Linked DNA regions of Alligator mississippiensis. The protein of the gene in region 2 binds, or shares a complex with, the protein of the main gene of each other region. Links are inferred from orthologs where the notes say so. Each region holds a gene or a part of one and is shown on either strand. Other genes may lie near its edges.

The links.
Region 1: SMARCD3 (region 2) and SMARCA4 share a complex: the UniProt entries of both Homo sapiens proteins name them as parts of the BAF complex. The link is inferred for Alligator mississippiensis from reciprocal best matches to the Homo sapiens genes SMARCD3 and SMARCA4.
Region 3: SMARCD3 (region 2) and SMARCB1 share a complex: the UniProt entries of both Homo sapiens proteins name them as parts of the BAF complex. The link is inferred for Alligator mississippiensis from reciprocal best matches to the Homo sapiens genes SMARCD3 and SMARCB1.
Region 4: SMARCD3 (region 2) and SMARCE1 share a complex: the UniProt entries of both Homo sapiens proteins name them as parts of the BAF complex. The link is inferred for Alligator mississippiensis from reciprocal best matches to the Homo sapiens genes SMARCD3 and SMARCE1.

Annotation. Positions count from the first base shown.
Region 1 is NC_081831.1:23,547,666-23,555,509, forward strand, and holds the start of SMARCA4 (transcription activator BRG1), read right to left. Parts: upstream 3,016-7,844; 5' UTR 2,852-3,015; intron 1-2,851. UniProt on the Homo sapiens protein: ATPase involved in transcriptional activation and repression of select genes by chromatin remodeling (alteration of DNA-nucleosome topology).
Region 2 is NC_081828.1:220,570,351-220,577,176, reverse strand, and holds the start of SMARCD3 (SWI/SNF-related matrix-associated actin-dependent regulator of chromatin subfamily D member 3), read right to left. Parts: upstream 3,002-6,826; 5' UTR 1-3,001. UniProt on the Homo sapiens protein: Involved in transcriptional activation and repression of select genes by chromatin remodeling (alteration of DNA-nucleosome topology).
Region 3 is NC_081833.1:18,298,546-18,306,342, reverse strand, and holds the start of SMARCB1 (SWI/SNF-related matrix-associated actin-dependent regulator of chromatin subfamily B member 1), read right to left. Parts: upstream 3,009-7,797; 5' UTR 2,928-3,008; coding exon 2,835-2,927; intron 1,697-2,834; coding exon 1,585-1,696; intron 1,014-1,584; coding exon 984-1,013; intron 1-983. Other genes in the region: MMP11 (stromelysin-3), read right to left, coding at 5,596-5,729, 6,844-7,101.
Region 4 is NC_081827.1:164,023,439-164,030,482, reverse strand, and holds the start of SMARCE1 (SWI/SNF-related matrix-associated actin-dependent regulator of chromatin subfamily E member 1), read right to left. Parts: upstream 3,007-7,044; 5' UTR 2,916-3,006; intron 2,534-2,915; exon of another isoform or gene 2,510-2,533; intron 284-2,509; 5' UTR 235-283; coding exon 228-234; intron 1-227. UniProt on the Homo sapiens protein: Involved in transcriptional activation and repression of select genes by chromatin remodeling (alteration of DNA-nucleosome topology).

The DNA.
Region 1 (7,844 bases), on a different chromosome or scaffold from region 2:
GTATTATTTATTACATGCAGTCAGAGATCTCAAAGATTTTAACACTGTAATATTTGGGTCAAGATTTTCCACAGTTTTACATAGAAAATTGTAGTATCTGGAAAGCCAAGGGCATTTTGTAAATGTTCAATTGAGAGGCACCTCCTTCCATGAGCTGTCCTGAGGTATATGCCTTGAAAAAAAAGCATATTATTCAATTAATTTACAAGGACAGTTAAAGACAAGCGCCACAAACAACAACAAAGACCCTGCTTTAAAACAATAGACTACATTGTTAGTGGCAGCCTAACCAAGAAGGAAGAGCAACCCACGCTGAAGCAGGAGATGAAGGGAAGACAGTTAAAATCCACTCCTGATATCAGGGCACCAGGGAACAGGGAGCATCCTGTCAATTGTCAATTGATTTGTAATAGTTGGTCCTGCTGAAGAAGGAAATTAATTTGCATTCAAATGTGCTTTGTGCATATCATTAAAAGTGGGGGGGAGGGTTTTTTGTTTTTTTGTTTTAACTGAACCCTGGGAGAAGATGCACTGTAAACCTGCAGCCCCAAATTCATGCAGATGAGGTGGGAGGAAGGGGGGATGACTGTGTGACAATGGGCTTTGTGTGTGGGGTCGCATGTGTTTCTGTGCCTAGTCTGTGCAGCTGCTACTGTGAATGGTGTTCTTCTCAGCCCCCTCCCCCAACACGAGAATGGGCTTTGTGTGCCTGTGTGTGCATGGGTGCACATATATGTGCATGTAGGGGAGCACCCTCCCCCACGAGATAGCAAGCCTGGGCAATGGGCAACAGCTTGGAGGAAGGGGTTCCTGGTCCCTCCAAGAGCAGAGGTGAACTGACTTGGCTCCCATGGGTTTCTTCCGCAGGCTTTGGCATTATTTTTACTGGTAGAAACTGAATGCAAAAAGGGCTGCGAGTTAGGGGCCTGGCCTCAATGGTGACCCTCATGTCACCCATTCCCCAGGGAACAGGAGGAGTAAGGGACCAGTGCAAACACAAGGGTTGGGTGGGGGAAAGTGATGACTATGGGGAGGTGCTCATTGTCAGGGTAGTCTCCCAGAAATGAGATGGGGAAAGGCTGAATGGGGGCAGAACCCCCCTAGGGCTGGTGGTGATGCTAAACCCAGGAAGGTCCTCTGTTATGCTGGGGGAGGACAGAAGGGGATGAGGGTAGAGATGCTGATGGGAAAGCCCACTCACCTAGGATGGGGAAAAGATGTTGACAAAGGAGCAGTTCCCTTGGAGGGGATGGGGGGCAGATGGTGATGCTGAAGAGCAGGAAGAAGGTAGGTACTTCAAGGGGGGGGGGATCTTAAAAGGGCAGCTCCCTTGGGGGAAGGATGAAGAAGATATTGTTGAGGGGGAACACACTGGTATTCTGGGAAGGATGGAGAAGAATCCCACTAATAAGTGGGGGCCACAGGTCAGTGTGCTGGGGGGGGGGGAAGGGATGAGGATGCCAAAAGGAGGGGATGAGCTGAGCTGCCCCTCCATGGGGTATGAGGGAGGAGAGACTCCCCCACCCTGTAGGGTATGAGAGGGTGAGAGATGGTGCTAGACGAGGTGGGGTGGTCTGAACCCTCAATGGTGGGGAGGGATCTGGGGAAGGGGAATGAGCCCCACAAGGGCTGGGGAGGGAGACAGCAAAGTCTTCAAGATTGACAGAGGCAGATGCTGCTGGGAGGGGGGCAGAAGCAGGGAGGAGCTGTGTTGGGGTGCTGTATGCAGAGACCCAGGGGATCTGGGCGGAGGGAAGAAGATGGGAGATGCCAAGGGAGAGGCAAGCAGAGCCCCCCATGGGGTGAAAGAGGAGGGAGATCATTCAGTGAGGCATGGAGGGGGAGAGGGCCCCTATAGGGTGTGAGGTGGGAAAGACAGAGATGCTGATGAAGGAGGGAGGGCTCTGAGCCCTACGAGGGCAGAGAGGGTTACCAAAGGCCCCAAGAGCAGATACTGCTAGGGAAGAAGGACTGGGGGGGGCAGAGAGAGGGGATCTGGGGGGAGAAGGAAATGGAAATGCCAAGGAAGAAGCAAGCAAAGTCTCCCTATGAGGTGCATGGGAGGGGATCCCACAGTGGATCATGCAGTGGTGGCAGGATGGAGACTGAGCCCTGTAAGTGCAAGGAGGGGGGAAAAGGTTGCAAAGCCCCCAGGAGGGGACAGGGCAGCAATGGTGCAGAAGGGAGGGAGGGGCTGGGGGGGGGGGGGTGCAGAGTGCCAGGCACCTGCAAGGAAGTTGGGATGCCTGGGGAGGGGCCAGAAAACCCCCTGATAGGGGTGTGGGGGGATCCCCTCGGGGGGAAGGAAGACCCCGACACAGTGTGAAGGGGAAAGAGATGCCTCTGTCTGGTCAGGACAGTCTGAACCCCCAATAGGGAAAAGAGGCCTGAGCCCCATAGAGCCTGGGGAGCCACGAAGCCCCCCACGCGGGCACAAGGACTGATGCTACCAGGGCAGTCGGGGGGGGGACGGAGGGGGGGAAGGGGGCTGCACAGACACGGGGATCCCCCCCACGGGCTGTGACAAGGAGGGGAAGAGATGCTGACAGGGTCTGAGCTCTCAATGGGGGGCAGGAGACCCCTCCCGGGACGAGGCGGCACGTGCCCGCGAGGATAGGGCCCCGAGGGAGGAGGGGCGGGGGCCGAGCCCGCGTGAGGCGACGCTGCGGCGATGCCCCCCCCCCGCCCGGCGAACAATGGTCCCGGCCGCTCCTGTCGCGCGCGCCGAGGTGTCTTGACCCGCCCGGGCCACCGTAGCCCCCCTCAGTGCCTGGCCCGGTCCCATTCCATGGGGGGGGCCGGCTCCGCGGCCCCCGCCCCCCGCCGCGGCCCCCCCGCCCACGGGCCTTACCGCGCCCGGCGCCGCAGGAGCCGCTCGCACGGTGCATCCCTGCCGGGGCAACGGGGGCAGCGCGCGGGCTCGTGCCGGGGGGGAACAAAGGAGCCACCGCCGCCGTGTGCGAGGGAGGCGCGCGCGCACGCGTTCCCCCTCCCCCCTCCTCTGCGCGCGCTCCCGCCGCAGCGCGTCCTCGACCAGCGCCGCGCGCGCGCGCCCCCGCCTCGGCTAATGGGAGGGGCCTCTTTGCCAGCCGGCCGGCAGCAGTCGCGTGCGCCCAGGGGGCGGGGGAGAACCGAGCCAATCAGGAGGGCGAAGACAACATTTTCGCTCTCCTTTGACCGAGCTTTTTTTTCGCCCCCCGCCGCACCTCCACCAATCGGGGGCAGCGGACCCTCCCCCTCGTGGCTCGGCGGCCAATCGGGGTGCGCTGCGGGGGCTGCCACTCTCTCCCACCTCCCTTCGCTCCCTTCCGCTTCGCGCTGACCCCATGCAGCTCCAGCCAATGGGGGTGGGGGGGGCGGTGTCAGGCCGGCTTCGAGCCGGGCTCGCTCCTCTAGGGCGGAGCGAATGCCCTTCCCCCCTGTTCCGCTGGGGGAGGAGGGAAAAACTGCTGTCGCCGCGCATGCTTAATGCTAGCGCCACTGCGGCGAAGGGGAGGGGGAGGGGAGTGTTGGAGAAGGGGCTGGTGGCTGAGGGAGAAAGGGGTGGGGGAGGGGCGACTGGGAGAAAAACGGAGTGGGAAGAAGGGAGAGGAAGGGGTGAAAGGGGAGTACTATGAGGGGGAAAGGAAAGAGGGGGCTGGAGAGCCAGAGACTGGGGGCTTATTCTCTTGACACCCCACAGCCATCCAGGGCTAACGGCTTCTCTGCCAACCCTCTCACCTAGGCGGGGTCCCAGGCTGAGAGGCACCAGGCTGCAGCTTGGTCTAGTCTCAGGAGAAAGCCCATTGTTTGAGACAGGGCTGCCCTACATTGCCCTGGCAGCCCGAAGGGGATGGTGCTGATGTGCCTAGGTAATCCTGGCCTTCCCAAAAGGCTTGATGAACATGTGCTAATTAAGCATCTTGGCTCTTCTGAGAGGCAGGTAAGGGATACCCAGGGACAACTTCCACCTTTGGGTAGAACTACCACTTGTTTAACAGCGTGGAAAAATGCTACATAAATTAGAGTGAAGGATGGGACACAGCTCTGCACCTAATTGAAATGGCAGAGCAAGTTAGGGCATCTTAATAAACCAGCCCTTAACAAGAAGTGCCACTGTGTGGTGACTAGCTTCTAAGTTTGTTGGGGGTTTTCAGCCTTGGCTGAAAGATAATCTCTGCTGCAAGACAACACCCCCTCGCACCACATTTGGGCATTGATTCAACAGGAAAAGCACTCCATTGACTCACCATGACACTGTTTGACTTGTGAGAGCAGATAGGGTCAGGGATTGCCAAAGGCATTAGCTCACATTGCCGGTTCCAGCCAAGGCCCACAAGGTTCAGGGCAGGAGGATGATGTATGCACATGTGGAATAGTTACTTGAGGTTCTCACATGCTTGTGAATGTATTTCCCAGGAGTGTCACCACCTGACTTCAAGCTGCAACCTTTTGGATCCCACCCAAAAACAGCCACAGTTTTCCTCCCACAAAGCTCTAGACGCACATGCTCTACTTTATTTATCCTTCAAATAGGAAAAAAAACCAGTCACTGACACGTCTCTTATTCCCAGCCTAGTCCATAGTATTGTAGTCTACACCAACTGGAATCTGCTAACTGATCAATGCAGAAGGCAGCAAATGGACAAAGTATCCCTGTAGCTAACTAAAGAAAGCAGGGTTCTTTGGGAGGTGGGATTCAGTTGGAAATAATTCATATTTTTTCTAATCTGCTTTCCTAATTTTCTCTCATCTTCAAGGCTTAATAAAAATAGTTCTAAATCATGAAGATTTGGTGCCTAGGTTAGAAATCAGCTCGGTTTTTGCTTAAGGATGGGAGGGAAACACTTAGTTCTTTCCACAGCAAAGGCTTCTGGAATGTAATCTGGTTCTGGAGTTCTTGGATGCTTCAGAAGGATGGTTAACAGGTGGGGAGGGGATAAATAGAACCCCTTTCTAGTCATGGCATAAGGACTGGGAAATGGGGGGGGCAGACTGTAGCAGGGGAGGACACAGCTAAGACCATAGCTTTGCTGCAGCTCATGGGCTAATTCTGGATAGTGGCCTGATCAGATACAGTCCCTGGAATGAGTATGTGCATCTTTTCCTACTACTCACATCCCATTGCTGTGTTTAGGGTAAGCCAGCTGGAAAAAGGAGAGAACAGAAAGAAAATTAAAGAAGAAACACTGCAGTGATCTAACTAGGCAGACGAGAAAGGGAGGCCTTGAGAGAAGGAAAAAAGCCAGTATAAAAGGAGAAATCAGACAAAATATTGTAAAGGAGAATTATTTGGGAAGGGGACATATGTAACTGGACGTCTCTCACCAGCTGCTGATTCTGGTTTTCTGAGGTTTCTTCTTTTTGTTTCCTTTCTCTACATCCTTCTCTCTCTCTCTCTCAAGGGGCTTGAAATGTGGTTATATGCCAGACTTATAACTCCCTTGTGCCAGGCCCCTTCAATTTGTCCTGTAGAAACATACAAAGAACGGTTAAGATGAGCTCAAGTTTGTATTGTAGCTAAAATGAACCCAGATGGTACTGTAATTTCCATTAAAAAAAACCCCTCACCAGCATTTCCAGTGGAAGCATTTTTCCCAGACCCTCCCTGGGAAGTGTCTGTTCAATTTGTCTATCCATTTTCAGAAGTTCCCAGCACCACTGAAAAGCCGAATAATTAGAACGGGAACTGCTTTCCTTTCAATCCCACAGGGGGCCACGTTTCTGCAGTGGATGTAGTGTTCCCATCTGAACGCCTGCTGGAATCCTCCTTGAATGACAGGCGCTAGATATAAAGAATGCCTATATAAACATGAAATTACATTATTTATTCTATGCCAATTAGTTTAAAAGTTGTCTTCCTTAAAGCCGAGCCTGACAGAAGCCAATAACCTGATCATTTCAGCTAGCATGAAAAAGCTTAAGAGGTTGCAGACATGCTGGCATTGAGTTATTCAAATCTTTCCTCACCAAGTTCATTCTTGGAGAAGCACTGATATTAAGCTTCAATTAACATGCACGTTATAAATTGAGCTTTACAGAAAAACATGCCCAGAATGCCTTATTCTCTTCTTTTTTTTTCCCCCTCAAAAATTAATTTTCACTGCAGTGAGGAAGACTATTGATTCTGCTGTCGCGTAATATTGTTCCCCCCCCCCTCTTTTTACAAAGAGAACATCAGTGCTTGCTCCAGATTAAAAAAAAAATAGAAAAATCTGAAAATCCTACCCTTATTAAATGAGCATAAATCAACTGCTGACTCTTGAGGTGGAAGATTTGCATTTCCTCAGATGTCTTTAAGAATGCTAGTTGCTGGTGCCAGAGAGCTGCTGTTGGTATGAAATTTATGTGAAGGGAGAGTCAGCCCAACATGTTTATTGCCTATTGATTTTTCCCCCTCCTTTGCCTTTCATGACCACTATGTAGTCTGAATGCATATAAATTACAGTCGCCTTTCACAGGAGCAAAACAGCATTAATACATCACAGTAAGCCCTTATGTAGCTTTACATCTTCAAAATGCTTAGGTTGGCAATCTCCATTTTACAGGTGTGTAAACTGAGGCACTAATTCCACTGACCAAACTGCTACTTGTTGGGAGAGCTGAAGATACACCAAAAAAAAAAAAAAAATGGTCCTGAGTCTCAGTTACTTTCTGCTGTCCAGTGGCACATTCTAATCGAAAGCAAAGGGAAGGTGTAGTGTGTGAATGGGACAGGGTGATTTCACTGAGGATTTGTTTTTGGTGGGTGGACTAAATATTTGATTTTCTGGGCTGTGCTTGTTCCCTAGGTGTGTAATCCATAACTTCCTGTCTTTATTCTGGTCATAGTGACTCTTTCGGTCTGTTTTTCACATGGTTTCTTGGTACATAAATATTCAGTTTTTATATAACCAAAAAACCATTCTCTTATAGATCTAAACACCCTAGCACTATATAACAGCTCCCCCCCAACAATCCATACGTCTCAAGCACAACAATCCATATATATATATACACACACACACATACACACACATATATATACATATATAGCACATATGATACTGGAATACAGGGCCTCATAAACTCCTGTACTGTGATCCTGCCTCTACAAGGAAGTAATGTATTTTCTAGGATTTACTGAGCCCTCAATTCTGTTATCAAATGTGTGCGCTATCCTTCCCCACAACATTATTAATTCTAAACTAACACAATACAAATATTCTAAAAAGGGTTATAGGTTGGACACAGGAAATTACAGGCCATTTATTCTGACACTGATTCCAGGTAAAATCATAGAAAAGCTGAGACTATGCAATCCATACAGAATTAAAAGATGGCAGCATAATTAATGCCAGTGAACATTGGTTATATGGAAAATAGGGTTTGTCAAACCTATTATTGTTTTTGATGAGATCACAAGTTCGGTTGATAAAGGTAACTGTGCTGACATAATCTACTTAGACTTCCATAAGGCATTTGACTTAGTCCTGCATGACATTCTGACTTTTAAAAAAATTGGTAGTATACAAAAATCAGACTATACTTAAATGGATCGAAAACTACTTAACTGAAAGATTGTAAAATATAATTGTAAATGGGAAGTCATTGTCTGTTAAGGCTATTTCAAGTGGGGTCCTGCAGGGATCTCTTCTTTACCCAAATGACATTTGGTATCTTTTATCACCCATTCAGAAGCAAATAGAAAATTTGGAGATGATACAAGCATAATAAGTAATGATTGGTCAGTTACACAAACCAACTTAGACCATTTGAGTCTTAAGTATTTTAACACAGCCAAGGTCATACATTTAAGAACAATGAACAAAGGTTAAAATTATACTCCAGGAGAATATATCCTGGAAAACAGTGACTCAGGAAAA
Region 2 (6,826 bases):
AGAGGAGGTCCACGCGACCGGCCGGGGCAGCACCAGGTAGAAAGGTGATGGTTTGTAGGAGATTAATACCTCTGTTTTATTCAAGCTGAGCTTACTTGATGGCTGGACACCCAGAACAGATGCCAGAAAAGGCAAGTGAGAATGTGCTACTGGTTAAAGGAAGGGAGAAAGCTGACCAGCAGACTGGTATATCAGCATAAAGATGGTTACCGGCAGGGTTTTGGATCAGAGCACTGCAAACAGGGTGCAGAGAGGGGAAAAGGACAGGCCAGAGATAGGGCCTTCAGAGGTGTCCACCAAGACAGGCTGAGGAGGACCTGTTAAAGCAGGCTTGAGGTAGGCAGGGACCATAAAAGGACAGGAGTGCCAAGAAAGCGATTTCAGGAAGGTGTGGTTGTCAGCAGCAAAGGCCATCATGGAGTTAAGGAGAATGAGGCTACAGCACAGGCTTCAAGATCTTGCCCATCACGAGACCAGTCTGGATAATGCAGAGGTTCTCAACCTTTCCAGACTCAAGACACACCTTGTGAGGCTCCAGGCCCCCGCAGAAAATGCCACCTCTTCATTGTCACTCATTTCTCGACCATGGAAAAATAAGAGCAATTCTTCTGTGACAAGAAAGCAAGAGGGACCACAGCAGGTCTGAAAGTTTGTGATGCTGGGGATTCCTGTTTGAAATCTCTGGGTTTATCTTATGAATCATGTGTAAGTGTCTGGACACCTAACAGGACTCATAATGTGCATGACCCTTGATAGGGTCTTGTACCGCCCAGCTGAGGATCACTGGGGTAGAGCAAAGAGAGGGTCAGGACCAGAGATGGAGGAGAGGGGCAGAGCCCAGAACGATGACACAAGAGCTGGTGACAAAGTGTGTGCCGACAGGGATTCGGGAAGTCCAGTCTCAGTCCCCAGGAAATGTGGCAAGAGTCTTCTCTCCAAAATCCTTTCCACCACTGGCAACAACACTGCTGAGGACACTGGCGCCCCTCCCTGACAGAAAACTCATCAGTTATCACCTCAAGCACTTCTGCCCCCATATCAAGAGCTACAGCCTCATGGACACTATCAGAGACTCTGCTGCTGCCTTCGCTTTTACACGGAAACTGCATGACCCATTGCAGCCTGAGGCCGAGTGGCTAGAGAAATGAGAGCGCAGGCAGCAGCTGTGACGGCTCCTTCAGTCGTTTTGGAGGCGGAGATGGAGGAGCACAGGGGCCAGAGCAGAGATGAAGGAGCGCAGGCTGGCGAGACAGGTGAGGTCAGGAGAGACTCTCCTTCTGGTGGAGGAGACTTGGCTGTGCCCACGTCCAGAGAAGGACAAGGAAGGAGGCAAGAACGGAGGTGAAGGAACTAAAAGAGTAGATCAGGGTCAGTGCAGCAGTAAAAGGAAAACACACAACATAATGCCAGGGCTCCACTGCCCAGGGAGTGGGAGGAGAAGCTGCTGGGGCAGGCCTGCGGGGCCTTGCTAAGGAGCAGTGGGCTGCTCTGAGGAGAGCTGTGCCACACCGGCACCAGCGACCTCCGCCCCAGACATCTGCCTGACTGCAGCCACATGCGCGGAGCGATGCTGGAGCCTGCAATCCCCTCGCGGACGAGGCAGCCAGTCTCCAATGCCGCCTGCATGGCGACAAACTACAGCAAAGGCTCTTTGGAAGGCCAAGCACACAGCGGAAGCCAGTTTTTGGTCATCCACTACTGTCAACATCCTCAGGCAGTTCCAGCGCTGGAGAGGCCCAGTTCTGCATCAGAAAGCCTGACTTCAGCCTGACTCTCATCTGACCCCAGCACTCTTTCCTGCCTAGGCAGGGGGTTGGACTCCATGATCTGTTGAGGTCCCTTCCGACCCCAGCATCTATGAATCTATGACTGACCCTGACACCCCTCACCCACCCACAGGTGAGAGGGGGTCTCTTCACCACCGCTTCAGCCATTGTCCCCGGTACTGAAGGGAGTGCGTTGGCCTGTCATTGCCAAGAGAACACTTGACCCTTTAAAAGGCCACCCACGTGCTCCCGACTCCCAGGCCGCCTCACATGCCCACCCCGTGCTGCACTGCCCCACAGGCCGTCCGCATGTGCCAGCCAGCAGACTGCCCCATGCATTCAGCTCTACCCTTAGGTCACCCCCCGTTCACAGTCTGCTGCACAGGCCTGCCCGTTGGCAGGCGTGCTACCCCACAGGCTGGCCTGCCCCCAGACTCGAGCTGTACGACCAAGGGCACTGCTCACAACCAGTGCTCATTTGCCAGTCACTAATCCTGCGGGTCCCCAGTGCCGCGGTCACTAGGATGCTGTTCTCATATAAACGGCATGCTGCTCACACTGCCCTAGGCTGGCAGGTCCGGATCGCCCCATCTCGGGGGTTTGTCAAAGACGTCACGCTCCAGGCAAGCAAACCGAGGGCAAGAGCCAGGCCGCCAAAGGGGCAGCACCGTGGGCTGCTGGACTCTAACGCAGAGCCCTCTGTGACGGCTTGGAAGAGGGTGCCACTGCAAGCAGATCCCAGGTCCTCAAGAGAAAGTGCACGCAAGCTCTGACAGCCACTCAGCCTTCGCGCTCCTCAGACTCCCCAGCACTGCGCCTTCTGTTACACTGACGTCTCCTTAAGAAACCCCAATGTCACAAGCTGCAATTGTTCTCCGTCACTGCTGGGAGCCCCGGAGGGACACACAAGGCGGAGGAAGGCATGCCCTCACGAATGGCAATCCCTTGAATGTCAGGAGGCCTCCAATGGCCACAGGAAGGCTACAAGGATGTTGAGGGTGCCCAAAGTATGGCAGCTTGAGGCTCCCCAGCAACGAGCGCACAGCTAGTCTCCTGGAGCCCCTGGAAGTCACCTGTTAGGTAGCCAGGGGACACACGAGAGCCAAGTCCACAGACAAGTCCCGCGCCCCGCGGCACAGGGCTTTCCCAGCATCCCTGCACGCAGCAGGAGCTGAACTGCAGAACCAGGCGCCCTGCGAGACCGCAGGGGTCGGATCCGCTCTGGCCCCTGCCCCGGAACCGGTCTGGAAGCAAACCCGCCCCCCCATTCCCACAGCGTCAGAAGCAATGACCGCTGCACACCTCACCCCAACGCCTGCCCACGGAGCTGGGCCCATCCCCTGCTCCTGCCACGCGGCGTGGACCGCCAGCCAGCACCCAGGGCACACGGCAGGGCTGCTCCCAGCCCAGCCCTGGCGCCTGGCTCGCTCATCCCTCTGTTCAGCACCAGCCAGCTCTCTAACTTTCCCGACTCACCACCCCGTGGACCAGAAACTCAAAAAGTTTGCTTTTCGTGGCTTTGCGAGCCCCGCCGGCAACTTCATCCGTGGCCATCGGGTCGGCTCAGCCTCTCTCCTCTCCCTCTGCCTCTTTCTTTCCCTTTTCTGCCTTTTTCTCCAACTCTCCCCTCTGAGTCCTGCTGGGCTCTCACACTTCTAATAGAGCGGAGTGGGGAGGGGGCCCCTTCAGGGCCTTCCTGACGGCCCACTCCCGCTAATCCTCAGCTGCTGCATTCCTCAACTGATAAGCCAGAAATAGTTTGTGCTGCCCGGGTCTGTGTGTTTACTCTGCAGGGACAGAAAATCCAGCCTTTTAAACCTCTCTGTCCAAACAGCAGAGATAAGCGGGAGGCAAACTGAAAACACGTCTGAGCCTTCCAGCAGCAGCACTGCAGCCTCTCCTCTCCAGCGCCACAGGATCCTGGGCCCTGGGGTGCAGGGGGAGCTCCGGCAAGGACATGGAGCAGCTCGCAGGGAGGCTCTGCCAGCTAAAGAAAGCACCCGGCAGCCGTGGGGAACAATAGCTGTCTTGGTCTCCTCCAGCACTGCATTCCCAGGCCTTCTCCCCAGGGACGTGGCAGGCAGCACAGAAACATTCACTGGCAGGATTTCCAGCACAGAAGGCTAAGAACAAGCCCCTCCGGACAAGCGCGGCACCAGCAGGAGACAGAAATCCGGGGAAAGGAAGGGCAGCGCGCAAGCGAGGGGAAGGAAAGAGTGTGAGGAGAGGGAGGCAGGCGGAGGGGGAGCGTGCGCCAAGGAGGCAGCGCAGCATGGCGACGGCAGGGCACAATGTGTGGCTGGCTTCCCCGCCTGCCTGCCCGCAGCATCCCGATCGCCTCCCCGGCTAGGCGCCCTGCCCTCGAGATGCTCGCGGCCCACTGTCCCAGCCCTGTCACAGACCCCCGTGATGGATGGATGCACACAGACAAATCATTAACGCTGTACATGCTGCCCCGCGTGAGCGGCAGCAGCGTGCAACACAAAGCCTCACGTGCACGACAAAGCACGTTGTCCCCAGGGATGCGGCGCGCCCCGCCACGCCCAGGGAAGGGGAGAAGGGAGGGATGGGGCAGCAGAAGAGGAGGGAAGATGGGTTTCACAGCCTTCGCCTGCTCCCAGCGCCCAAGCCGGCGGGAAAGGTGCGGGTGCTGCCGGGCTGCTGGAGCGGCCGCCATTCTGCGCTCCGCTGCACTGGCTCCTCCATCACCGCAGCCGTGGCCTGGGGCAGCAATCTGCTCGCTGACAGCTCCGCATGCGCCCGCAGCCTGCCAGGGTTTGCTGCCACAGCAAGAGACACGTTGCCAGGTTACAGGAGGGTTTATCCTTCCCTCCTGCTCGCAATTCCTGTCCAGGAGCCGGGAAGCGACCGATCTCTCGCGGTCGCTGACCCAACTGCTGCAGCCAGAACCACGTGGAGGAGACCCTGGACGAGCTGCAAGCGCGCCGCGCCGCAGCTCCCACCCCGAGGCATGGGGACCAGGCAGCTCAACCCCGGCACTTGCGTGGGGCTCCCTGGGGGGATTCCAGGAGCCGGGGGGACAGGGGCGCTGGGCAGCGCGTGGCAGGCCGCCGTCCTGCTGAACCCCGGCTCCGGGTCCCTGTTTGGTGGGCAGCACCAGGCCCACGTCTCTGCAACAGAAGCATCCTCCGACGCAGGATGCGCCCTCCCTGCCTTCGTCCCGCTCCTCGTGGCCGGGCACCGCGCCCACGGCTGGGACGCTCCCGCCTCCGCGGCAAGAGGATGCTGGGGCCGTCTCCCTGGATCCCTCCACGGGGGGGGGGCGCAAGCTGCTGCGCCCGCAGAGCGGGCCGGCCCTGCCTGCACGTGCCGAGACGCCGTTCTGGAGGGAGCGCTAGCCCAGCCCGGCCAGGCCGCCCGGGGCAGCGGGAGGGCACGGGGCCGCGGCCGGCTCCAGGCCCTGATGGCGCGGCCGGCCCCTGCCGCGGCGCGGGGGCTCGCCACAAACAGGCTGGACGGCCTGCGTCCCCCATGCGCCGGGGTGGGGCACGCGTGCAGGGCCGCACACCAGGCGCGCACGTGTGCGCCGGGTCTCACACGCCCACCAACAGGCAGGAGCGCAGGTACGCGTCGGCACGTGGCGTCTCACACGCGTGCACGTGCGACAGTAGGTGGGATCCCGTGCACACTTGCATGAACAAGCAGGGTTTTGCACGCACACAGACACACGGGGTCCTGTGCAGACACACGCAGGACACCGCAGGGGCACGCCCAGGCCTGGCGGGCACGGCCGGGCCGGGCCGGGCGCTGCGCGGGGCCCGCGGAGCCCCCCTCTCGGCGCCCCACGTCGGCTCCAGCCACCGAAGCGCCGAATGGCAGCGGCCCCGCGCCCCGCTCCCGCCCCGCCCGCCCGCCCGGGCCCGCCCCGTGGCGCTCGCAGCTGCCGGGCCGCGCCGAACCGAGCCGAGCCGAGCCGGGCCGGGAGCCGCGGGGCGCATGCGCGGGGCCGTGAAGGTCAGCCCGCGGCGCGGCGCGGCGCGGCCCGGCTGCGGGAGCGGGGGGAGGGGCGGGGCGGGCGCCTTAACCCCCTCGCGCCCGGAGCCCGGCCCGGCCCGGCCGCGGGGGAGCGCCCGCCCGCCTCGGGGGGTGCCGGTGCGGGGTCCCGGCCCCGCCGCGGCTCTGGGCCCGAGCGAGGCCGGGAGCGCCCCGGCCCCCCAGCCACCACACCACGACCACCCTCGCACCCCGCCCCGCGCTCCACGTCCGCACCGCGACCACCGCCCCGCGCCCGCATCCACCCTGTGGCAAACGCCACCCTGACGCCAGGCCCCGCAGCCGCCCCGCGCCCACGTCCACGTCCACGTCCAGCGCACCGCAACCACCGCCCCCGCACCTGGCCTCTCAGCCGCCCTTTGCTCAGCGCCCTCCAGCCACCGTCCACCACGCGGCAACCACCGCCCCGACACCCGGCCCTGTGACCACCCCTCAGCCACATCCACCGTGTGGCGAGCACCGCCCTAACGCCGGGCCCCACAGCCACCCCTCACCTGTGTCCACCACACAGCAATCACCGCCCCTCACCAGCATCCATCGCACGGCAACCACCGCCCTAATGCCAGGCCCCGCAGCCGCCTCGCCAGCATCCACGGCGCGGCGAGCACCGCCCCGACACCCGGCCCCGCAGCCGCCCCGTGGAAGTGCTGCCCTAACGCCTGCCCGGGGGCGAGGCCTGACCAGTGCCTGCCGGTGTGCCACCAGAGGCAAGGCCACCGGGCCTTGGCGGGCAGCGAGCCTCCGCAGCAGCCCCTCACCCGGCCCTGCTGCCGGCCTGCCCCGCGCTCCTGCTCCTCAGCCTGCCGGCGCAGAACGGGCTCGTCTCCTGGGCCCGGCGCCAGCACGCCCAGCGCCGTCTGGCAGAGCGAGCGCGCGCTCCAGGTGCCGCGATCCCTAACCAGAACGGTGCGGGGAGAAGGGCTGGGCAGGGACTGACGTGGTCACAGCCGCCTTCGCCCGGTGCTTGGCGCTTGAGACACTTACAAGAGGTGGCTGAAGCTGCTGGGGCTCCTGACCAAGAGCCAGGACTCCCTCCTTCGTTTTGT
Region 3 (7,797 bases), on a different chromosome or scaffold from region 2:
TATGAACCCAGTGCTTCTAGAGCAGAAGGCTAAGGCCTATTATTAGAGAATCAAGCACCACTTTTTGTAAGGACAAAAGGAATATCTTGAGCTATTTAATAACAAACCTTAATATTCCTGCAAGAAAATGACTGGAAATGTCCAAGTCCTCATTAAATATTAAATCTAACGTGCATCAGATGAAAATGTCTTTTATCCTGGAGTTCCCACTGTAGATATATAAAAAAAATCTTCTTAATCTGCTTACCTGGGACCACACCTCAGCAACAAGTTAAAGACCACTCTCTTTGTTCCTTCTTTTGAACATAAAATGACTACAGACAGGAAAATGAGCTGACACCTAGCTTTACTCCTGTACCATAAATCCACAAGTGCCATCATGGACTTAAGACCTGATGCTCATGTAGCATCCTTTAATGAGGTGCTTGATTGCTCCCACTGCAGGACAGAGACATCCTAGAAACTAATGAGGCCTGGAGGGCGGGCTAGAAAGGAGACAGAAAGCTAAATGCAGAACAGAGTTCAGAACAATCCCATGCACCAGCATAGGCTGGGGGCTGACTGCCTGGGCAGCAGCTCTGCAGAAAAGGACCTGGGGGTTACAGTGGACAATAAGCTGAATACGAGTCAGCAGTGTGCCCTTGTTGCACACACTAATCAAAAGCATTAGTCAAAGCTAGACTCCACTGCAGACAGGACAAGTGCCTGTAAAAACCAGGTAAAAACGAGAACTGGGAGACTGGTTGGCAGCCCCCCTCATATCTGGAGACAGCCCACAAAACCCACACATAAGTTTGTGAACAAACACAGTCGGTACAACCACTAAGAAAAATACATCCTTCTTCAAGGCAGCAAGAGCCAAAGTAGAGGGCAAACGAGTCCAATGACCCAGAAGAGGCGAATATGCTTGTACAGCAGTAAGGGTCAGAACAGGGATTCGTTGTCCAGCAAAGCTAAGAATAACATAGGCTGATAAGACTTACATCTTCTGGGACTGTGAGACCGCTGTGACTCTATTGGAAAAAAAACAGAAAGCGACAAGTCAGCAGGAAACTCAGAGGAAGGAGACAGAAGCCTGTTATGCTCCAGGCCTGTTGTTTCTATAAGGTTATGTTTCTTTTTTCCAAAAAACCCAAAAAACTCAAGTAGCTTGTTCTCCTTCATGAGAGAAACAAGGAAACAAACTCCTGAGACAACAAAATTTTGACTTTGCTTTGTTCCTATTGGTGCAGTTCTCGCATTACAACAGCTCTAGAAGCTGCGACCATTCACACTGATCTTCCCATCTCACATGGAGAGATCCCAGAGAGGAGACAAATCAGAGGGATATTTTTTTTTTTTTTTCGAACAAGCACCATGACCCTCCTGCCCTGTTATCACAGGAGCAGCGAGCAAGCAGACTAGATTAGATGCTTGCTACAGCAAATGAAATTCACCTGAGAAAAGTCAGAAAAGCCTTAGTCTCCTGGCATTCAACGAGAGCTCCCTCAGGGGTGGGGGGTGATTAGATGGTTTTTGCCCGGTCCCATTCCCAGACACTCCTTTTGTGCATGAGGTGTTAGGACGAGATGCTCGGGGCCTTACCGTGAGAAGATGCGACGATTTTCTTCCTCTCTTCCACAGTGGCCAGCCGCCTCCACAGCGAGGGGTACCGCTTGTACAGGGAGCCCCGGAACATGCGCAGGTAGTTCCCCACCTAGAGCCCAGAGCGTGGAGGTTCGGTCTGGGGGGCACCGCGAGCCAAACGAGGCCCTTCCCCCCCCCCCAAATGGTGGTGGTTGGTGTGGGGGGGGGAGGGGCAGCTCTTTCACCCCCATCCAGCCTTGTTCATCAGGCCCTGAGCCCCGTGGGGCTGGCGGCCTGTCTGCCAGGCCCAGCAGGGGCTGCTGATGGCTCGGAGTGCCCGGAGACCAGGCGCTGTCATGGGGAGTCTCCCCCCTCATCTATCCTCACTCAGGGGTTGGTCGGTCAGGGGCCAAAGTGTTTGTGTACAAGAGAGTGTGTGTGAGCAACATGACCCCTGCCCCAAACGGGGGGTGCGTGTGTGCACCCATCGTGACCCCCTGCCCCAATCAGGGTGTGTGTGTGTGTGTGTGTGTGTGTGCCCATCGTGACCCCCTGCCCCAATCAGTGTGTGTGTGCCCATCGTGACCCCCTGCCCCAATTGAGGGGTGTGCGTGTGTGTGTGCACGCGCGCGCCCATCGTGATCCCCTGCCCCAATCAGGGTGTGTGTGTGTGTGCGCCCATCGTGACCCCCTGCCCCAATCGAGGGGTGTGTGTGTGTGTGTGCACATGCGTGCGCCCATCGTGACCCCCTGCCCCAATCAGGGTGTGTGTGTGTCTGTGCCCATCGTGACCCCCTGCCCCAATCGAGGGGGGTGTGTGTGTGTGCGCATGCGCACGCCCATCGTGATCCCCTGCCCCAATCAGGGGGTGTGTGTGTGTGTGTGTGTGCGTGCCCATCGTGACCCCCTGCCCCAATTGAGGGGTGTGTGTGTGTGTGCACGCGCGCACCCATTGTGATCCCCTGCCCCAAACGGGGGGCGTGTGTGTGTGTACCCATCATCGTGACTCCCTACCCCAATCAGTGTGTGTGCACGCATGTGTGTGCCCCCACCGTGATCCCTTGCCCCAAACTGGGGTGTGTGTGTGTGTGTGTGTGCGCGCGCCCATTGTGACCCCCTGCCCCACTCAGTGTGTGTGTGCGCGCGCCCATCATGACCTCCTGCCCCAATCGGGGGTGTCCAGGCGGTGCCGGGGCGCTCACAGCCCGTCTCCCCCCCACCGCAGGGCGCTTCCCGGCGCGGCCCAGCCCGGCCCGGCGCGGCGGTACCTCGGAGCCGATCATGTAGAACTCGCCGTCCTCCTCCAGCTGGAACTTGACGGGCTTCTGCCCAAACGTCTTGCTGAGCGCCATCATCATCATCGTGGCGGCGGGGACGGGACGGGACGCGGCAGCGGCTCGAGCTGGGCTGGGTAGACTGCGGCCTGCTCCGCGCTCTCAGTGCGCACGCGCCGCCCCGCCCCCTCGGGCCCGCCGGGTGGGCGGGGCGGGGCGGGGCGGGGCGCGCTGTGCGCTTGGCAGCACTCGTCCCCCCAGGCTGGTGCCGTCGGTCCCCGCCGGCTTTCCCAGGCCGAGTCCCGCTGCACGCGGCGTTTGCCTGGCTCGTCTGGCGCCAGCCGGCAGCGGGGGCTGCAGCAGCGCCGAGGGGTCGCTTGGTTGGTGCCGCAGACACCGGGGGCTGGAGGGAGCTCGGGCCGCATCGAGTGCAGCCCCTGCCCGGAGCAGGGCCGTCCCCAGCGGCATCGCCCCAGCCAAAGCTTTGCCGAGCAGGTCCTTAAAAGCCTCCCAGGCTGGAGATCCCACCCGTCTCCGGGCAGCCTGTCCCAGGGCTTCGCCCCCCTCCTCGGCAGGAGTGTTTCCTAATATCCAACCTCAGCTTGCTGCGACTAGAGACCCTTGCTCCTTGTCCTGTCACCTGCCACCGCTGAGGACAGTCTGGCCCCGTCCTCGTGGCAGCCCCCCTGCAGGTGGTTGAAGGCTGCCCTCAAACTTGCTCCGTCTTCTCTTCCGTGACTAAATGAGCCCAGTTCCCTCGGCCTCCTGGTGTGTCGTGTCCCCAGCCCCTCAGCCATTGCCTCTGCCTTCTGCTGGACTCTCCAATTTGTCCACATCCCTTTGGGGGGCTGCAAAACTGGACACAGTCCTCCAGATGTGGCCTCCCCGTGCTGAGTAGAGGGGAATAATTATCTCCCTGGATCTGCTGGCAACGAGCAATTACTAGCAGCTCTGCAGGGGCTCCTCAGGCTTTGCCTGTCCTCAGTGTTTGCTATAGTTTTCCTTCACTTTTTTCTTCAGCACAAGGCCATAGTTTCCTGCCTACATCCTGATCAAAGGCCTCTAAACACTACTGCAGTGATATATATTATTAGGTGAGGATAATTGGTAGCCACAACTGCTGCATTTGATGAAACTGGGTCAACTGAGCATGTTGAGACCTGGTTACAAAAATACCACTTGCGTTTCCAGCTCCGTCACTGCCTAAGACGAGGTCTCGAGTTGGGACCGGTTTTAAAGCTGTTGTTGATGTTGAGAGACTCAGACCAGGCAGAGCATAGAAAAGAGATCACGTTCATTGATACAGCACAGCATATAAATATATACACAGTATATATAAAAAGGGTTTATACACATTTTACAAACATTTACATACAGAAGAAGAACGGCTGTAGAAATGGGTACTGAGAAGACAAAAACCTTGACCTGAAAAATGAATGAGGTAAATTTGTAGTGCTTAGGCAGACCATGCAGGCTAGGGGTGGTACAGGCCATGTAGCCACATCCCTTATTTGCTGTGGGTAGGTTTAAATCCCACTTGTCTCTGCTGACTAGCTCTGAAGGAAAGCTGATACATGGAAAGGATAACTGAGTAGGTCTCAACCCCCTCTGGACTACCCTTCCCAGGACAGTTGGGAAGAGCAGTAATGGGATGTCGTCATGCTACCTGGGACTGTAACAACCAGCAAAAGTTTGTTTTGTTGATTTCTTTTTTAGATCCGTACCAAGCATCAGAAATGATGAGATTGGGAAGCAGATGCAACTGGAATGAACTGGAGAGATGGGGCGAGGGCTAGGAATGGCATGGATGAGAGAGGTAGAAAGGGGGAGGAACAAAAAAGAACAAAATAATCATCGTTTGCACAATGATTTGCAGTGATAGGGAGAGAACAAAGAGCTGAACCGAGACCTGGACATTGGCCAAGTGCAGTTCTGAAATTGGTGGTGAAGTTTCAGACCCTCCGCAGGTCGTGTGGTGATCTAGTGTCCTACTGAGACTCCCAGAGTTAGTAACAATACATGGAGATACAAGGCAGCGTCCAGCACTGAAACCTAGCATCTTTTTTTTTTTCTTAAAAAAGTATGTAGTATTTTCACAAATCCATATAAAATGAAAATACATACTTAAAATGCAATACAAAAACAGAAGTATCACTAGACGTGGAACAAGATGCTGAAATTCAGGAGCCCACCCCGTCCTGTTGAAGTAACCCTGGCAACATGGGCACATATCTGAATTTCTCAACACATAGTCAACTGACTGTTAAAACTCCCAGCCAAGGCTAAGGAAAGGATTATTGATGGAATCTGTTCTCACCAATGCAAACATCAGTAAGCGAAGCCCCGCTGTACACAATGTAAACAAAAGAAATACCAGTGGAATCCCTTTTCTAAGTGGATGGTGTCCAGATAATTATGGAAGCAGACCCCATTCCAAGTTGGCTTCTTGTCTTTAGGATGTCAGTGCCAAAAAACTGTTAGAGCAGCCACTCGACCCTTAATGCAGGCAGCTGGTAGTCATCAAGGCTGCAGTCATCTTTAATGTCTATACCAAGCTGTGAGTACAAACTCCTGGAATCTAAGGTTTCCACCTTAGACTAACAGCTGCCTCAAGCCACTTGTGCCACCTATGGTGTTAAGTGATGAGCACGACAGGAGTGGGGTTTCTTTGTCAGAGTGTGGGACATCTCTTGAGGTGACTGGTGGTGATGTGTGAAGGCAGGAGAAGAATCTGGGGCCATTAGCACCCCTTTCTTCATCGGAAGGAGTTGGAGGAAGGTGTACAGCTGAAGAAGTCCTGGCTGATCTGGCGTGGGTAACCCTCTAGCACTTTCACCTGAACTGGGTCGAACTTCCAGTAATGTCGGCCTCTCAGGAAATAGGCAAAACCTGTGGAAATAGAGTGGTGAAGTGTCAAAGGAGACAGAATATATACTACTGACAAGACCCTTCGTTTTTTTCAGAGGATGAAGAGCCACACCAAAGGCCAGAACACTAAACAGCAAAGGAGGGTGAGCAGAAAGCTGTGCATGTCAGTCGTGTCACCCAGAAATGTTCTTCCCATTGTTTTGCTTCACTAGGTTAGCAAATCAGGCTGCCTTTTTTAAGTGTGGTACCAATAGGGGAGGGAGGTGAGGAGAGAAATACAGCCTGAGTGGGAGATAAGGGCTCAGAATTAGACCTTTACTCGATATGCAAGTAGGTGTAGGATGGTGGTGATGGGAATCTGTTACCACTGAGAGATGCCCTTCCCTTGAGATTCAAGCCACTACTGAGAGTTCAGGCATAATGCTGATTATGAAGGACTCCCTTGGAAGGAAAAGATGTTAGGGTTAATGCATCTCTTGTCAAGTGCTCCCAACATATTTCTGGATAAAGGGTGTGGCATTGCTCTGCCATTTTTTAGCAAAGAACCCCAGTGTGGGGAACCAGATGATAATGACAGTACTTCTCTGCTATTCTGAGCATCCTCCAAAGCAAAGGAAGTGCTGTTCATAATGCTGGTATGCATTTTTTCTTTGTGGAGTGTGTACAGTGTGGAAGTTTTCCTTGTGTTAGTCTGTAACCTCGTTAGATTACTGATTAATACAAGCATTGATCAGTGCATATACAGCTTATATAAACTAAGTCATATAAACTCACGTGACTAAGAGAATGGAGGGCAGTATTGATTTAGAGTCTCTCTAACCAACAAAATATGTCTACATGGTTCTCCTTGCATTTTCTCCCAAAGGATGCTAATATCCAGGAGGCTACAGATGCTTAATTACTTGGTCGTCTGCAAAGTTTATTACAAATGCATCAGTCACATACACACTGGACACTGATTTCACGCTCAGTATACATAGTGTTCATATGTGTGCATTCATGTGTTTCTTTTATGAATGCTAATTTACACATGATCCTTACACTCCAAATCCTGCTGATTCCCTTCCCACTGAAGAGGCAGGACTAGGTGAGAACACACATGCAGGGATATGTGTCTCCTCCTTTCTGTACTCACCAGTCTCATCCTGGAAAGCAGCATCAATCTCCTGAGGGATGCCACGCCAGTCAGCCATTGTGCGGGGGTAGACGTTGTCCACCTGGCGGGCGCTAGGGTTGAAGCGCCAATAATTGCCTCCCTTGAAGAAGTAAATCTTGTTCTTTTCAGTCCCCCACATCAAGGCTGCCTGGACGGGAGAAGTAGAAAGGCCTAGCTCCGTAATAGGTGCAGGGCCAGAGACACGTCTCTCACCATCATAAATCCAGTACTGAGGGCCTGATGAGGAGAAAAAGGAAGAACATGTAAGGGCAGGCATGATTGAAGGGAATGTCCTGTCTAATGTCTGTGCAGTGGGATGTGCCAGCATGTCAGCCCAGTTGAGGGAAAGCTGTCCATGGCAGGGAAACCACTGCCACCACCACCACAGGCCCCTTTGCTGATAGTGATTGGGATGCTGGGCATCAAAGGGACAGGGATAAGAAACACTCATCTCACCCCTACAAAAGGCTGTGGTTGTGTCAAGGGGTGATGTGGAGAGAACTTGCCTACCTGCTGCCTTTCCTTTGCCTCTTTTGAGAATTAAGGGACTACTTCAGTCTCCAGTACTTTCTGTCCACACTGTCACATGGTGCCAACCCCAATGGGGTCAGAGTCCCAAGTGATGAATCTGTGTAACATGAAAATAAGCTTCTCTCTCCCCTTCCAGTTGGTGAAGACTTGGCTGCTGGTTATTGTTCTAAAGTGGCTATTGTGGGCAGGCTGCTCAAAGGAGCATGGTTAGGATTTTGCTCTGTGTGTGCTGAGAGGCATTTAGTACCCACTGCATTATCCCAGCTAGTGTGATGATATAGAGAAGTGGGGAATCAATGACGTATTGTTGCCAGGAATAAACCCCAACTCATCCACACCTTGGTATATTTTATTCTCTCTGCCTATGAACCTGAGGCTGCCAGGTGTGGGGAGAGAAGGAAA
Region 4 (7,044 bases), on a different chromosome or scaffold from region 2:
GCAGCAGTGCTGTGTGCAAACTCAAGCTCCACCCCCCCTCCCACCCCACATATAGTTGAATTCGCATAAGTTAAATGCGCGTATGATGCGACAGACTTCTATTCCTTTTAAAAAGAGCCTGATCCCATAGCCATTTATTATGTGACAACAACAGAATTAATTGTGTAAGGAAGGGCTACTAGATCAAGCTCTCCTTAAATAAATAAATAAAAAATCCAGAAACTTACTTGACATTTTGATGGACTGGACAAATTTTCAGTCAGCTAGCATTATAATTGTTATGCTGAAAGACAAAAAAAGGACACCATAACACTAAACATAAGTCTTTATTTTCATTTTATTTTTTAAACTTATACCATCATAAGGTATCTACTGATGGCATGTCAAACATATGGCCTGCAGAGCTGTCTCATCTGGCCCACAGGGCTCCTGGACAGGCTAGGAAAAAGGGAGTAAAGGACACTATCAAAATCTGGAATATAGAGTCCCAGTGGAAATTTATTTCAGCAGCAGGGGGCAAGTGATAGCTGCATTAAGCCCCCTGGCTCCCTGATGGTGCTTGCCCTGCTGCCCCTGCAACTAGTTCTAGCCTGAGAGCCCCACATCAAGATGAATGTGACACCCTGATATACTGCAATTAAAAATCATGGCTGCTTATACACGTGTTCATGGATGGGCATTTTAATGAGACTGGTTCCCAGAGAGTTGTTTTAGTTAAAACGCTGCAGTGTCACATGTATTAAGCCTCCACACATTTAAAAATGGCAGCAGGATGCTTTAACTGAAGCTCATTCAAATTAAAAAAAAATGTCTTTGTGTATTACTGTTTCAAAAAATTAAGAATACTGTGTGTTGGATTTCACTGATCTGGCTTCACTGCTGGCTTCAAAGTTCTGATGGTAGTGAAGGAGCAAGCAGGTGTGTATGATGTCTTTCAATCTTGGTATAACGGAAAAAGCAAGTGCCAACAGTGTCAGATACAAGACCATAAATAACCATGGGGAGATTGGCATATGCAACCACTAATAAACATGAGCTCAAAGAATGTAAATACTCTATAAACTAACAGCAATATCGTACTAACTTTCAGCATGGGAAATATCCCCTTGAAGACTTAGGACAACAAAATCTGGGCCTAGCCCTGTCAGAGTAACAGAGAAGTAGGGCTGGAAGGGGCCTCCAGAGATCATCTAGTGATTCTAGTCCAAACCCCTGCCTGAGACAGGATCACCCCTATCCAAACCATCCCATACAACCATGAACACCAACTATTACTGCTGAAATTCCTGATTCCTATTCTCATACAAAAACAGAAAAAAATCCCTACTGCAGGGGTGGGCAAAATACAACCTGTCGGCCAGATCCGCTAGCTAAGGGATTCTATGCGGCCTGCAGCAGGTCCCTTGGCACCACCCAGACCAGGCACAAGTCAGCTCAGGCCATAGCACATGCAGCTGGTCTTACCACCTCCAGGTGTGGCGGGGGGGGGGGGAGGGGGGGGGGGGAAGGGGCAGTGGCCGGACTCCACTTCCTAGCAGACCCCACATCGGTGGCTCCTTCTGGCTGCTGCCACTAGTGTCACCATTGCTGCTGGACCTGGTTCTGCTGCCCAGGCACCCTGGTCCGTCTGCCCCACACCCACCACCAAAGGTACTGGACAGAGTGGGTGGGGCCTCCACGGAGACTAACCTGGGACCCCTTCCGGGAGGGTGGGTTTGGCTGGGTGGGTGGGATGGGGTCATGGGCTGGTGGCGGGCAGCATCTGGGAGTAGGAAGGGGATCATGGGGTGGTGACAGCACAGGGCCAAGGCCCAGGGCAGAGGGATGTGTGGAGAGTAGATCATGGCTCATGGCCGCTCCTGGCTGCCACTTCCTGCCTACCTGTGGTCCCATCCCATCTGCCTGGCCAAGCATGCCCTGCCCAGGCATGGAAACCACAGCTGGCAGCCCCAGCAGTAGATGTGGGGCAGACAGGCCATGGCTAGACAGGAATAGCTGCCCTGATGCCACCCCCATCCTATTGTAAAGGAAGGTCCTGTCCTGCAGCAGCAGGAAGATCCTGAAACTTGTCAGATTTGGGGGCGATAAGGCCAAAGAACCTGCATATCGAATGGATGTGCACAGGTACTCGGATTTATTGTTATCGTTTGTAGTTGCTCAGTCAGAAGGTGGCCACCCAGGTGTGTTATTTCTGAACTAGGGGTTTTTATTCCCACCAGGAACACCAGCTCCCTGGAGAGTGGGACAGGGGACAGGCAGGGAGCTCCCAGCCACGTGCTCAGGTGGGGTGTGAGGGCAGGGAACCCAGGGCAGCAGCTGGGTGCTGCACCTCACATGAACCCAGAAGATGCTGGGGGTCACTCCCTCCAGCCAAACTGCGGTGGGGGGAGGGGTAGGATCACCTGGCACCGCCCATTCCAGGATGGGGCGGAGCAGCCCCCACCCCCCATTTTGGGCTACTTCCTCCCGGCTTGACCCAGGCCTACTCAGAGACCCTCCCCCCTCCGACCTGTCTTTGCAGCTGGGCCCGGCTGAAGCAGAGACCCGGGCGGGTCCCGCGCATGCGCAGTGCGCCCTCCCAGCCCCTTTGTCCCGGCCGCGCGGAGCCGCCTGCGCTTTGGCCCCGGCACTTTCCACACACGAAGTTGTCGCCCTTCCCCCACCTTTGTGGCTACCCCGCTTCTCCGCCCAGTCTCCCCCAGGCGCGGCTGGATGCGGCGGGAGCCTGGCGGCTCCTGGGCGGGACAGGCGCGGCCGGGCCGTGGCGAATCTGCGGACACTGCAGACCTGCTGAGGCGGGGGGGGGCGTGGAGGATTTCCCTCCCGGGTGCGCGTGGGGGGAGGGGCACCTATTGCCAGAGCCGCCGCGCTGCGGGCCCCGATGCGGGCGGAGGGGGAGGGCAGGTAGCACTCACCAGCTCCGGCCGCGGCTGCGGTGCCTTTGTCCCCGACGCCGCGCTGCTGGGCGAGCGCCGAGCAGGGGAGGAAGCGACCTGCGCTTCCGCCTCGGCACTTTCCACAGAGAACACCCCCCTCCCCCACTTTTCCAGCAACCCTCTCCGAGTTTATTCGTGTTGCGTCTCCCTCAAAAAGCACCACCGCGCCCAGGGCCAGGGAAAGCGGGTTATTTTTCTCTCTTTCCTTTTTGGCGAATCAGCAGGTAGGAAGAAGGTAAAGCCACGTCGGGGGACAGTTGACAGACGCGTGATGAGTGACGTCAGGCAGGCGGAGCGAAGCTTAGCTGATCACGTGTTAAGCCGGGGCGGGGTGAGGCAGTTGGCGCCTTTTTTGACCCGCGCCAGTGCTGTCGGGATTCAGCGGCGCTGGCGCTATTTCCACTGCTTTCCCCTGAGCCTTTTGGCCTCATCTGCATGGAGAGGCTCTCGAAGTGCCATACAGGTGCCAGGGTGATGCTGCCATGTTTGCTTATGTGATGGTGTCCAAGCCACCCTTGCCATGCCACCCAGCTCTCCTTGCAAAACAGCGTGAGGCGCACGTGTGTTGCCATGCACGGTGATGTTTCCAACACAAATGCCCCTTGCACAGTTGTCGTCAGTGAGGCACTTGGCGCGTGTGCAGCTCTTTGACTAGGTGATACCCCATCACCACACCTGTGAAGGTTGCTATAATGCAAAACCGTCCACTCGGGAGCTGCTGCATGGTTATTTTTTAGCTCAGGGTGTCCCCCCATAACATGCTGTGGTTCCCCTCTGCCCTGCTTTCTTTTCTCTGTCAATTATTATTCTAAAAAGAGGTGCCCAGGGAAAGGCGGTGCTGTAGGATTGGCATTTAGACCTGCTGGAGTGCCCCAGGGAAAGAAAAACAGCACCGCAATGCTACCTGATGAAGTGACAGTAGGCTTCACTGGTGAAAGTGTTGGGCAAAAGAGCACAAAATAGATGAACAGAAAGTTTAAAGCTGTACGGTGAGACCAGAGATTTCTTAAGACTGGTGCAAGTGTATCTTAGCCCCAGTAGGTAAGAAGGAAAACATCCACGACTGCAGAAGTTTCGGAGAAAGGAAGCTCACGGAATGAAGACGGGATGGAACGAAGCTCATGGAATGAGACTCCGGAACATGTTGCTGCTACGATTGGTTGAACCTTCACTCAGACAAGAATAGTTTGCCTTTAAGAAAGGGTGAGTGACTACACATGCAATTTTTATGATTGGCAAGTGTAATGAAGCCGTTAAAGTAATATCAGGAAAGCTGGGCTTTATGGGCTTAGGAAAAGCACATAATAAATTAGGTAAAAGAATACTCTCACCTGGGCTGAGGAACTTTGATGTGACCAAGAATAAATGGCATATATACAGATAATTTAAAATGATGATTTGACCTTACACGAATGGCAGATATGAATGATCTTATATGAGTGACAAATCCTCTTGAAGTTAGCATTGAACTGCATTAGGGGTTGGCCCTGTTGTTTACAATATTGCTGGAGATTGTCAGCAGCAAGATCCTCATGGGAGATGGTGAGATGCTTCTGTATCGGGGGCTGGCAATTATTTTGGTTGGAGGGCTGCTTACTGAGTTTTAGCAAGCTGTCAAGGGCCTCATGGGTAGCCACACCCCTTGACAGGTGCCCTGACACCTGGTCTTGGACCAGAAGTCCTGCCCCTCTAACCCCTGACCTTTGCCACCAGAAGTCCTTCCTCTTGCCCTTGAAAATACTCCTTTCAGCAAAGGTTTTTGCCATCTTGGAACCAGAAAAATACCAAATTATATTCTAAAAATCAAACATCTATAACATTCATTAATTTGATTTAAAAAAAAAAATTTTTTTCCTGATTTACATGTATTTGTGTAGTGTACATGGAGGTGATTGCACAATAGCTTAAAATGAAGTCTTATTCTTGTATATTGTGAAGGGGGTGGGTGTATACATGTGTGGGTATAGGTTTTTGGGGGGCTGGTGTGGGTATGTGGGGTGTGGGAGAGGGTGTTGATGTGTGGATGAGGGTTTTGAGGGGGTGGATAGCTGTGTGGGGTAAGGGAGCATCTGGGTGTGTGGATACATGGGGTGTGGGTGGTCACAAGGATTGTGGGGGGGCTGTATGGGAGGGTGGGTGGCTGAGGAGGGCTGTGGCATGTGTGGAGGGAGAGGATGGCTGTGGTGTGTGGGGGGGTGTGGGTGTTGGGGTTAGTATGTATGGCAGTATGAGGGGGTGTGTGGGTGCATGTGTATGGTGGGGGGTGTGTGGGGCTCTCTCCCTGCCTCATTGTGCATGCGCACACACTTTGTTCCATGCATGCGCTCTCTCTCTCTCTCTCTCTCTCTCTCTCTCTCTCTCTCTCTCTCTCTCTCTCTCACTGGTGCCCACCCGCTTGCTGCCACTCACCCCCTTGCCTGCCACCATCCTTTCCCCATTTTCCTGCCTCACCCGCTGGCTGGCTGCTCCGGCATCATGTGGTATCTGCTTGCACCGCCAGGACTGCAGGACTCAGAAGGAGCTGGCCCAGCCTTGAGGACTGGGGTGATCACCCGCAGTCCTCCCCTGCCTCCCTTTTTCTTAGCTGTATTTCCTGGAGGGAGGCAGGGTACAGCCCCATGGTCACCAGACCAATAGCCTCTTCTAGGCAGAGGCTTCCAGTTGGAGGTGGGGCCAGGCGGGTCTTGCTGCTGTGGCTGCTGGGTCCTGCCCCCCTAGGTCTTGCCACTGGCCCTTGGGTCATCTTTGACAGGCAGCCAGGGGCAGATAATTAATTTTCTAAATTTTTCAGGGGCTTCGCGGGCTGGATAGAATGGCTTGGTGGGCCAGATTTGGCCTGTGGGCCATATTTTGCCAGCCCTTGTTCTATATACAGGTGGCATATCCGTAAGAATATTCTATAAAGAAGACTCAGAGAAAATGGGGGTTATGCATCATTTCTGATGATGACAGATAAAAACTTTTCCATATTTGTTTTGATTGTGAGTTCTCATATGGCTATAGAGTCCAGGTTTTATGAAGAATGTTCTTCTACATACAGTTTGAAACATGTAAGATACACCTGTCCCATATTGGATCGGCACTGATATGAGGAAAATTGAGAGCATCAGTAATCAGCTTTTTTTGTCTGATGTGGCCGATAAATGCTGTGTGCATGCATGCAGCTGCAGTGCAGCTTGCAGGCAGCCAGGAGCGCAGCCTGGCAATGTGAGAGCAGCCAGGTCTGGCTGGTAAGTCTGTTGTGGGGGAAGGGGCAAGGTGGGAGGGAAGGTGTGTGTTGTGGGGCAGATTGAGGCCTCCGTGGTGAGGGAGAGAATGGGAGTAGGGCTGGGCAGGGGCAGGCACTGCCAAGCCAGGATGGGGCAGGTAATGGGACGGAGCTGTGGCTGGTTCAGAGGGTTCGGGGGTGGGAGGGGGTGGCTCCTGCCACTGCATGGACCCCAGGAGAGCTTGGGGGTGGGGCGTGTGCCCCTGGATCTGTGCATGGGGCAGGTGGTGGTGGCACTGGGAGGGAGGGTTGCAGCCATCCTAAAATTCGCTGTAGCCTCCGCTCCCAGCACTGCTGCCATGCACCCCAAGCACAGCCCAGCTCCCCCTCCACTGGGAAGAGCCCAGCACTGCTCTAGCCTGCAGTGGCAACCCACCCTCGCCCTGTGCACAGATCTGGGGGCACACGGCCTCCTGGGGTGTGCACAGCGGTGGGAGTGCCCCGCACCACCCTGCCCTTGCTGGGCAGTGCCTGCCCCAGCCTCAGCCCTACACCCTCCCTCACTGCAGGGGCCTTGATCTGCCTCTCCCACGCCCCTTCCCTTCCCCCACCACAGACTTATCAGCCAGACGCCTCTCTCCATGCTGCAGGGCTGCATATTGGAATCAGATTGGTATCAGCCAATATGGCTCGTTAAAAATTAGTCATTGGTATTGACCCAAATTAGTGTATCCCTACTTAGATTGACCTAAAAGTGGTTCTCTCCCATGCTTCATTTGAGCTTTCTTTTCTTCTGCTAGCTGGGTAGAGAGTTATTGCAAATGTAATTAGACTACTCTGAATAAGTTTTCACTACTCTCTTTCTCATACATATCCTGGTCCCAAGTGTCAGTGGAAATA